Regions from separate parts of the Mus musculus genome. Here region 2 is reported to be linked to region 1. The links are microRNA targets in miRTarBase. Many come from high-throughput screens and were not tested one by one. Region 1 holds a microRNA gene; the other region holds the end of a gene's coding sequence.

Region 1 (5,380 bases):
AAATGGGTTGACCATGCTTGTTCCATGCCCCTTAGCCTTTCTCCATGGGTATAAAGGGAGAGTTGCTGCTTTTCCAAAGGTGTTTCCATCTTTTATAGGCAGAAGCCAAAACACAGGTACAGCCACAGCCCAAGGGCATCACTGAGCCAGTAGAAACTAAGAGCTAAGTGTGTGGCTAATCCTGGTACCTCTTAGATGGAGTTTGCACTGGGTTTTGATGCGCTATGGTTGTTGAGCCACGTAAGTATAAACAAAGCTTTTATTCCAACTTGAGCAAAGAAAGAAATAGCTAGTATCCTAGCAAAGGGTTGCCTAAGAGTGATCCCATATCTTGTACTGGCTCAGCTTCGGAAACCCTCCAGGGGAGATGGATGGATGAGGTGTTCTCATACTCTCTGGATTGTATCCTCCCTCCCACTCTCACAAGAGAGCCACCAAAGGGCCCTGCTCAAACAACCACACTCAAAGGCAATTTTGATGCCATGAGGAGGCTACCAGAGAATGTTAGCCATAAAGAGAAGTTCACTAGGGAAAAGGGGTCTGAAGTGCCGCCTTACATCTACCACTCCAGAGGGCAGGGGTACCAGTATCAGAGATAAGAGACAGGCAGCAGTGGCTGATGACAGCTTGCTGTTCCCTGGTCCCAATCGTAGCCAGCACCCACCAGTCCTCAAGGCCTTGCTAATGGCATCAAAGAGCACAGCCCGTAGACATGGCAGGATGCTGGTAAAGAGCTGATCTGGGGCCCAGGCTTTTCTAGAGTCATAGTGTTATGTGACACTCACCAACTGACATATCTTGGTAAAGACACCTGCAGCTGACATCTAGACACATGTCTCCAGAAGGAATTGGTGGTTTGGCTTGTATTGGCTGTTTGATTAAATTGCTATTGTTTGGATTTTATAATTTTCTGGGCTTCTCTTATCTGAACTCCATCCTACAACAGAGCCTAAAAGTGCGCTTCCTGGTTTCCCTTACTGACTGTGCCTGTCCCAGGAGGTGGGCATTCTGGACCTAACAATGCACAGAGCCAAGAGGGGCAGGTGAAATTGTGCTTCTTTGAGGTAAATGCCCCTGTGCACATGGTGACCCAAACCCCCTGGCCTCCCGTCCTCCCTCTGGTCCATGGGGAGCTCTCCAAGGTGAGATTTGATATCGAAAAAGAAGTGCACCATGTTTGTTTCGTCACAAATAAAAGCGAAAAATAACATGGGCAACTTCTTTTCAGGTACCACGGCTGAGCTCTTGCTTGTTCCAGCAGTGTGCCTGAGTGTGAAGGGATGCTGAGGGACAGGCGGAAGGAAGGGATGGTGGGTGAGGCAGATACTTGGCCGGGAGGGGGACAGGGATGGGGGTCCTGAGGCAAGGGGAGTGGCTCAGTACTCATCACTGCCATAGCAATCCAGCCCAAACCCCCTCTACCTCAGGATCTCAGGAAGACCTGGGACGAAGACTGAAGATTCTGAGATGTTGCCTACCATCCTTGCCAGTCATTCTGAAGTGTCACTCGGGGGAAATGGGATGGTGCCAAACTCCAAGACAGAATCTCCTCTCTCAGTTCCAGGATCCTCTTCTGAAGCTGAGAAAAAAAAAAAAAGTCAAAGAACTAGGTGGCAAAATCCAGGGCAGCCTAAACCAGCTGTGTGAGTGCCTGGATGATGCCCTCTGAGGTCCCCCCTCTCCCGCACCCAGAAGTGACTTACGATGTAGACAAATACAACAAAGAGCTCACAGGGTACTGGGAAGCAGAAGAACAGGTTGAAATGGGAGGCTCCAGGATTCTGAGCGTGTGAGATGTCTGGGGATGCAATGTCCGTTCATCATCTTGCGGCTGTCCTGAACGGGACATATGACCGACCCTTCCCTGAAAACAAAACGCATTGATTAGTGTGTGTTACCGTTACTGGAAGGTTACAACACTACAGCAATATATCTGAACCACAAAGGAAAGTGACTTGGTACCAACTACCTACCTTAGACTGGACAATGGGAATAATGAGCAAGAGAACATACCATCCAAAGAATGCCAGTTACACTCATTGACAGGCCACTCAACAAGGAGCCATCCATTCCTCTCATAGTAAGGAAAGGCCCACCTCAAGCTGACTTACACACAAAGGAGGCATCCAGGCTAATATAACTTAAAGGTACAGTGACGTGTTGAGCTTCAAGGAGTGTCGGATGCAGGTCCCAGATTGTACTGTTACTCAAATGTCCCATGGTTCCTCTGGGACAGGCACTTCCCCCTCTGTCTAAACAGCCCTGGGTACTGTCCTCTTGAATTCTAGCTGGCCTTCAAACTCAGGGAACAGTGAGATCCACTCAGACATCTCTCACAGAAATGAAGACTCATTCCCCTCCCAGAAGTCTCAGCAAACATCTCCCTGTGGGCTAAGGTCTCATCTAGGAATCAATAATGTCTGGTCAACTGGTTCCTTTGACACTGTGTTGTGGAGGAGGGAGGAGGGAGCAGGAGCCAACCAACCCAAACCCATTCTCATTAAGAAAGGTCAGAGGACCATTCAAGAAGGGAGATAAACTCACACAACCCAGGCTCACTACATAGACTACTTTCCTAGACTAACATGGCTTCCCTGAAGTCAGTAAGTAGTTGAACCCCCGAAGTCTTCAACGTAGAATAGGATGCTGAAAAAGAAGTGCACCGCGAATGTTTCGTCACATATAAAGCGAAAAACACGCGGGCAACTTCTCATTAAGCACCGTACGTCAGCAGCATGGAACCCTGTGTACCACTTGTGTACCGCTGTCGTCACTTCCTGTGGCTTGAGTACCGCTGTCGTCACTTCCTGTGCGTGAGCAGGCGATCACGCTGCAGCCCCGCTGTACCTAGGGGGCTCTCACAGCTGTGCCCGCTCCACGCAGGCAGAATCAGGATCTTGTAGACAGGCTTTGGATTGGTCATCCTTTGGGGAGGTCTTTGGAGTCTCCTCAAACATCAGAGAATGATATAATAATCCTGACTTTGCTTCCCAAAGTCCAGCTCTGGATCCGTGACAAGAGAGGAGGTGGGTCCCGTGACCTCTCAGTCGAGGTCACCACCCATCTGCTAGAGGGGAGGACATCAACCTATGTTCCACGGTGGAGGCCCTGATGCAAGGAGGTTATCATGAAATGGGAAACAAAAAGATATCTGAGCCTTTGTCAGAACGAGACAATGTCTCCTGGACAAAAATATATGTAAGTGGCATGTGGTGTTCTGAGAACAGATTCTGTTGACCCTCCACTTGCTGGGAAATGGAACATTGAGATTAAAAAAAAAAAAGAACATGAATAAAGATAGACTTCTTAGGTGTTCCAGGTAGATAGTTGGTTGCCTATGCTTGTACACATGTTCTCTCCCTCATGACATGGCTACAGGGCACCTCCCCACCCTTCATTGGCTTGACCAATGAAACATGAGCAGAATCACAGTAGTTCCTAATCTCAGTCGGAGAGTTCCTACTTACTTTCTATGTCTCTGCCATGGCTGCAAGAACCACTTGCCAGGAGCCTGGAGGAGGGGCAAGGAAGCCACCTTCACCCCCAGGGTAGCAATACATCAGGAGGTCGTCCTAGGTATGGAAGGCATACTCAGCATTAGTAAAGAAGGACACACATGAAAATATAATATATTCTTTCAGACAGAACACCATGACATACCTTTTCCATTGATGAGGACTCTGGTGTCCTTCCCTAAGGAGATGTCATATCTGAAATACATCTCCTAGTCAGGTACTTGTGCTGGGAAGCAGCCAATGATTTGAATCCTCAGAAGACAAGCAAAATTGAACAGACATGGAGATGAGCAAGAACAACGAAGCCTATGCCATAAGTGACAGATGTGGGCTTGATGCTGGGCTAGAGAGACCTGTCACTCACCCACCAGGAGAAATGTGCCCCAGCTTGGGATATAGCTTCACATTCAGGGGATCCTCCAGGATGGCGTTGTTTACTGCAAAGATACAGGATCATAAAATGAAAGTCACGCCCATGGTAGCCCCCCCCCAACACACACACACACACACACACACACACTCTCTCTCTTGAACACATATATGTACACACACAAGCAGAAAAAGGATCCCCCTTAAAAGCTAACTCTGCTTGAAATATTTTAGTTTCACGCTGGCCTCAACCCCACCAACATCTTCTTCATAGCTGCCGTGTGCACCAAGGTGTCTTCCCACAGATGGTCTGGGTGTTGGTGGATAGTAAAACGGGTGACCTACAGCATAAATGAAGTGTACGTCACCGGTCTACCATCCACACAGCTACCCCGAGAACAGTGGGCATCATTGTCCCTTCAGTCACGATGCTGGCACGTCCTTATAGCTACTGTGAGGAGGACCTTGCTGAAAAGCCATCACACACCAAGAGTCACCTCACAGTCCAAAGCCATAGGGAGTAGCCTCAGGCCACCACGGGGACCCTGTCCCTTCTTCAAATGACTTTCCTTCCAGGGCTGAGTCCTGATGCCATACTCCCATGTCCCATGTCCCAGAGTCCAGGGAACAGCAGTCCAGGTCCCTTCCCTGAAGGCGTCATCAGGGACAGGGAGTGCCCCCAGGGTGGGATTTGATACTAAAAAAGAGGTTTCCCGTGTATGTTTCATCATAAATAAAGAGAAGACAACACGGACAACCTCTCCTTCAAGTATCAATTAGCACTGGTCAGAAAGCAAACAAAGGCAGCTGGAAAGTGCCAGGTGCCTTGTCAGAAGTGTCTGCTTCTGTGGGCCCTGGAGAGCAACCAAAACCCCTGTGCAATTTGACAGTCCACAGAATTGCCTGAGACTATTTACCAACAACACAGACCACCTGCATTCCTTATCTCTCCAGGTTTAGGGGGGGTCACTGAAGGGAACCAGGGACCCCAGAAATTGTGCCTCAGGAGATAACAGGGGAATAGTAGCTCTCAACTTCAACAAGTACAGTACATTGGGGGTGTTCAGGAATGAGCCTCGGATTCTGGTTCCAAGAGGTAGGTGGGTGATGAGAAGCGACCCAGCCCTCTGGTTGTGAGTCTGGGTAGTTTCCAGGGAAGGTAAGATTCTAAAAGCAGACACATTATAAAGTTAGTAGGAAGGTAAATGTGTGCCAGCACATGTGGTAGTATAAAGAAGCAGCAGGCAGGGGCAGGCAGTTCCACCCCCTGGTCGAGTGGTTCTCAACCTTCCTAGTGCTGTGACCCTTTAATATACTTCCTCATGTTGGGTAATCCCCAACTGTAAAATTATTTTCAATGTTACTTCATAACTGTGATTTTGCTACTGTTATAAATCATAATGTAGATATCTGATATGAAATGCCTATGAAAAGGGCTCATGATTTGCAGATGAGAATTGTGTTCTACCTGGAACCCCACAGAAAGCTCTACTGCT
Region 2 (5,380 bases), not on the chromosome of region 1:
CTTCTGATGCCCAGACTGGCAGTACCAGCAGTTTACAGGGAGGAAAGGGGAGGCCAGCCAGCATAGATAGGAGTCGGCTATGGAGGAGTTAGTTGAGTTGGTCGTTAAAAAAAAAAAAAAAATGAAAGCAGCCCTTAAGACACGATGGATATCATGGAGCATGGTAGAACAACAAAGTCAGCGTGGACTGAGACTGAATCAAGTTAAGCTCATGGACCGAACCACGCTAAAAACTTTTACTCTGTGTCGAAATTAGTATTAACAGCTAGAGTTGAAATCTCTGTGTTATGTGTCTTTTTAACGTTGTAATAAAGATGACACCAAAACAGCTGGTTTTCTCTTCTTGGTATCCTATGGAGCACAGCGCCTTGTAAATGTCAGAACAATGGATAGGCAGTGTGTCATTTCCCTTGTTTGCCTTCTCTTTGCAGGAAATACCAGAAATGGTCCAATGCCATATGGGTTCCGGCTCCCACCAGAAGAAATGAGGAGACAGCGTCTTCACAGATTTGATGGCCAGTGATATGGCACCATGCAGGGGAAGTCCAGCTGTGCGATTGGAGCCCGTTCACTTAACTCCCCAAGCCCCTAATTGGTTTTAAACAAAAGAAGAGCACAGGGTTACTGTTGCAGGTCACTCTTGTCTGCCATGAACAAGTACTCCATGGCCCCTGTGTGCCCAGATGCACAAGCCCAGCTGACATGTCCCAGGAAGCCCACAGCCTTCCCAGAGTGGCCTGTCTAGCCCCGTGATCGCTCCTAAACCAAAGGTCACCTCTTCAGATGGGACCAATTTCCACTTTTCTCCTTCCCTCCAGACTCAGTGGCTTATCCACACTGCGGTAAAGCCTGGGCCCTTAATAGGAAGTGGGTTCTTTATCTCACCAGGTGAGTGGATCAGCCCTCACTCTGCCTGGCATGCCAGGTTCTTGGCTTAGCAGGAGGGGCAGTGCTACCCCTGGTCCTCCCACCATGTTTCCATGGTGATGCGGGAAGAGGATGTGGCTACCTTCCCAGGGCGTTCCGTTCTCTTTCACGCAGGCTCCTCCGGGTGCTCAGGCTACCAAGTCTGCCTGATGTTCACATCTCCTGCCTTATTCCACATGTAGAATGTCTAACAGGAGGGGAATAAGAAAGATCTAAGGTAGGAAAAGAACCCAACTCACTCATTAGATATCATGTGGCACCAGCAATTTGGGTTCAGAGCCACCCCCTCCAGGAGTGGGCGACTTAACTGCTCCACAGAGCGGCAACAGGTGCCACACACACACAGAGCAAAGCCAACGTGTTGACTGGGGTTCTCACAGGGAATCCCCCTTGCAGCAAGTATTTTTTTTTCCTTCATGAAAGTGCCTTCTCATTGGCTACTCTGGCTGTAGTTGGTCATAAACAAGTGTGTGAAAAATGCCCCAGGGAAGTGCTGTGTCCGAGTCACTTAAGGCATTTCTGTTTCTTGTGTTCTGAGAATAAAAAGGCAAAGACAGGATGTTGCCACCTCCTCAGAGTCAGGGAGGATTTAGATCAAAGGGAGTTAGGAGCAACAAATGGTGTTCCTCCGACTCTTATGCACCCTCCCTGCATAGTTTCCAATGAGAATGGGTGTAGACAGGCTTTCCTATGCACAACGCACACACCTAGGATGGAATACTAAGTGGCGATACCCATCAGCTCTGGGGGACAGGCACATAGGACCTGACTTTCTTTGTTTACAGTTTTATATTCTATTTTTTTAAAGCGTGTGTGCAAGTGTCTGCTGCTTTCAGAAGATTACTTTATACAATGAATCAAGAAACATGTAGTCAGTAAAACAAACCCTAAGCTAAGTACTCTTTGTCCATTAAGAAAAATCATAGACTGGGCATGGTGGCACACATTTCTAATCCCAGCACTCAGGATTCAGAGGAAGGAGGATCTATGAGTTCAAAGCCAGCCTGGTCTACATATGGAGTTCTAAGCCAGCCAGAACACACACACACCCTTATACACCAAAACCCTGTCTCAAAAAAGAGGGAGGAAGAGTGGGGGGGGGAGAAGGAAGATGATGAAGGAAGGAAAGAAATCACAGTATTTAAATAAAGGTACAACTGCTCATTTTTAAAAGGCACTGGTGCCCAAGGCCAACATTTCAAGGCTATTAACATCTCAGTTTCTGCTGTATGCATTTGACACATCTGGTGCATGCCATCTGTGTAGCTCCATGCCCACTTGTTAATATGGACCCACCTGGAATGTCTGTAACCCGTGCATATGAATGGACTAAGCAAATCCATGGAGTCTAAGCATTCAGACAATGGTGCCTGAGCACCTTAGTTTAATTTGTAATTGGTGGAAAGCCACACCTAGTTGATATTATAAATTATGCCCATGAGCCTGGTACCTCCAAACACATTTAAATTATAATGGTCAAGGTAAATTATCCCTGGCTCTCAGGCTGCACATTTGCCTTCCATACCACAATGAGAAACAACCTTTTCTCTACTTGACACCTTTTGATAACACCTGGGAATTCTACCCTAACACTCTTATGTCACTATTCTTATTTGTGCATACCTGCACCAAGTCATGTCTGTGGTTCTGAGTGACCCTAGACCACGGCCTGTTACTGACCTTCAACCTTCCCAGTCTCCCTCCCTCCACACTCAAAAGGCTCAGTAACTGTTATTTTCCCACCAAAGTTATTATTCACTTGTTATTAGAATTCTGCTAGCTTGTACATGTAGCTTTAATGTAGTAACAGTACCTGGTTGCTTTGTTTGACTTGATGGTCAAAGACACTGAAAATCCCAATTTTGGATGGTGTAGTTATAAAATGCACTTTTTCTTTATTTATGGAGTGGGATGTCACCAAATGTTTATTACAGATGTGGGAAAAGTCATTTTAGGGATAAGTGAAAACCACATGTCTTCCAGAATAAAGATGGTCTGGAAATGATAATCAGTGTGTTGCTCGAGTCATGGGCTTGCCTATAGCCAGTGCTTAGTGTTTTCTGGGTCTGGAATTCTTTTTTTGTTTGTTTGTTTGCTATCACATTTTTGTTTTGTGTTTGCCCCATCCACCATAAGGAATGCTCAAAGTTATGTCAACAAACTGGAAGTGCTCTGAAAAAGAGTAGCAGAAGCGAATTGCTTCCAACAGGGAGTAAGCACCAAGAGCTGATTTTTAGACTTGGTTCTTTACCAGCAATCTTCCAACTGTCCTTTATTTCCAGTTCCCCCAGTTTGGTGCGGTCAGTCAGCCTCACAGATCTCTTCATTCAGCACCTCCCTGGCTCTCAAGAGGAAGGACCAGGTAAAACTGCGTCCTCTTGACGACTTTCCAGGCGTTGCCTGTGATTTGCAAAGTTGTTCATGAGAATGTCTGCTGCTGAGGCTGGAAGGAAGCCGTAAATGACTAGGCTTAGTAGTATCTGACCAGGGGAGTTGGCTGTGGAGTGACAGAGGTGACCCCAGCACATAGTCGACCTCTCTTAGGAGTCGGTGTTCAGGAAAGAAATGCATCAATTACTCGTAAGTATATCGTTCTATTCCTTCCCGTGGGTCACTGCAGAAATTTTCGAACCTAATTCTCACTGCCCCAACTTTTTTTTTTTTTGTCAGTATTTTAGAATCATAAACTCTAAGCTTGGAAGGACCTTGAAGTCTTTCGATTCATTGCTTTGTTCAATACTTAAAATACCTCTTCATTCAACTCCAACCACTGTTGCCAGTTGGGCTTCCAGAACCCATTTTAGAAATACCACTCATCATCCCGGATATCTTTTATTGTTTGTGTGTTGACAAATGGGAAAGGTCAGAGCCATTAACCTCAACCACTGGGCTTCCAGCCACCCTGGACCTCATCCCATTTATTCTTAACAGCCCTCGCACACCGGTCTCACCATCCAGGCTGTGAGTGCCTGGATGCTAGGGTCCTTTCAGTGTTGTGTAAGGAGCAGCATCTCCTCTCCTTCAGCCCTCTCTGTCCTCATGCCATCCTTTCCGGAGACAACCTTTCGGAGAGACCACGGCTCCCATCACAGACCTGCTGTTTTGGTTGGGTCTATGTCTCTTGGTATCCACGTGTGACTTGGAGATACTTGGTTGTGCCATGAGAGCACATTTTCCTTTCCAGGGCAGGAGCTGTGGCTGTAATCCTCTTGTCTGACCTCACTGGGCCTTCAGCAGTACTTTGAAATCTCTGAACCAGTAAATACTTAAGGGATGAAGTGGAAAGAACCTCATTCAAATCATGATGGGTAGTAAGGCAAACTGCTTCTCAAATGCATGAATGTGACCGTGCATTGCAATCATGTGTGTGTGTGTGTGTGTGTGTGTGTGTGTGTGTGTGTGTGTGTGTGTGTGTGTGTGTACAGGTGCCCAGAGAGACCAGAAGAGGGCATTTGATCCCCATGAGACTAGTGAGCTGCTCAACATGGATAATGTAAAACAAAAACAAATTCCAGTTTGGTTCATCTGTAAGTGAGCAGCCGGTGTCCTTGCCCCTTCTCCAGCCTCCAGTATCATCCCTTTATTTTTCAAGGCAAGGTCTCTCACCAAACCAGACACTCTGATGAGCATAGACTATCTAGCCAGAGTTCAGGGATCCACCTGTATTAGGATTAAGACATACAGGACTGCTCCAAGCTTGATCATACACAGGTGTTGGGGACCCAAACTAAGATCATCATTCCTGTGCCATAGGCACTTACCCATGCCTTACAGTACACACTTGCAGTTTGGATACGAAACGATCCTTGTGTTCATTGTCCCCCACTTCAGGCTGATGGGTGCAGGCTTGTGTTGCTGCTGAGAAGTGATGGGAATTTTCAGAGGTAGACCCTAGTTGGAGTAAGCCAGTCCAGGCATGTGCTTGGGGGCTGTATGCCTCAGCCAGGCTTGGTCTCTCTGGGTCTGTTTCTTATCCACCAGGAGGTGAGCCATCTCTGCTACCTCTCCCACTGTATGAGACTTCAGTTTATCCGTGTCCAGATACACTATAGTTTTATGTTTCTCTCAGGCATCCATCATAGCAATGAAAAGCTCATAGCACAGGGAGGCTACAAGTAACACTGACTTCATTATATAGCTCTACAGTCACCCTTCACACCCTGCAAATAACCTTGCAAGTAGGCAATCTCTTCTTGCTTAACTAACATAACAACTAAGGCCAATGGGAGGCTGAGACCCATACAGCCCAAGGCCTGTGGTTGATGCATCCCTCTTGCCCAAGGCCTGGTTTCATTTGCCCACCTAACACTAATAGAGAACTATGCTTCACAGATCCTGAGTCTTACTTTCCCCAGCCCTGACTGCCACCCCCCCCCCTTCTACAGATCATCTTGTTTTATCTCCTAAGCCAGTTCTAAGGGTAGACCACAGGGTAGATTTAAAGTAGGGAGTG

Evidence for each region. Region 1 holds the annotated microRNA mmu-miR-666-3p (GGCUGCAGCGUGAUCGCCUGCU, at 2,817-2,838, opposite strand). A microRNA usually pairs through its seed, bases 2 to 8, with sites in the 3' UTR of a target mRNA and lowers its output. Matches are read on the target gene's strand: a 7mer-m8 pairs with bases 2 to 8, a 7mer-A1 pairs with bases 2 to 7 and ends in A, and an 8mer does both.
Region 2: the mRNA of Rhbdd1 is a reported target of mmu-miR-666-3p. Seed matches in the 3' UTR shown: 7mer-A1 at 1,319-1,325.

Annotation. Positions count from the first base shown.
Region 1 is chr12:109,714,598-109,719,977 of GRCm38, reverse strand. Mir666 (microRNA 666) reads right to left here and starts at 2,893; the gene lies at 2,795-2,893. Mir494 (microRNA 494) reads right to left here and starts at 4,660; the gene lies at 4,576-4,660. Mir679 (microRNA 679) reads right to left here and starts at 4,401; the gene lies at 4,328-4,401. Mir1193 (microRNA 1193) reads right to left here and starts at 4,307; the gene lies at 4,187-4,307. It also overlaps Mir543 and Mir495.
Region 2 is chr1:82,442,432-82,447,811 of GRCm38, forward strand. Rhbdd1 (rhomboid domain containing 1) reads left to right here. Exons shown (of 7, transcript NM_029777.3): 7 at 432-2,935. The coding sequence ends at 523. Among named protein-coding and RNA genes, the nearest start is that of Gm46095, 73 kb to the left of the region's middle.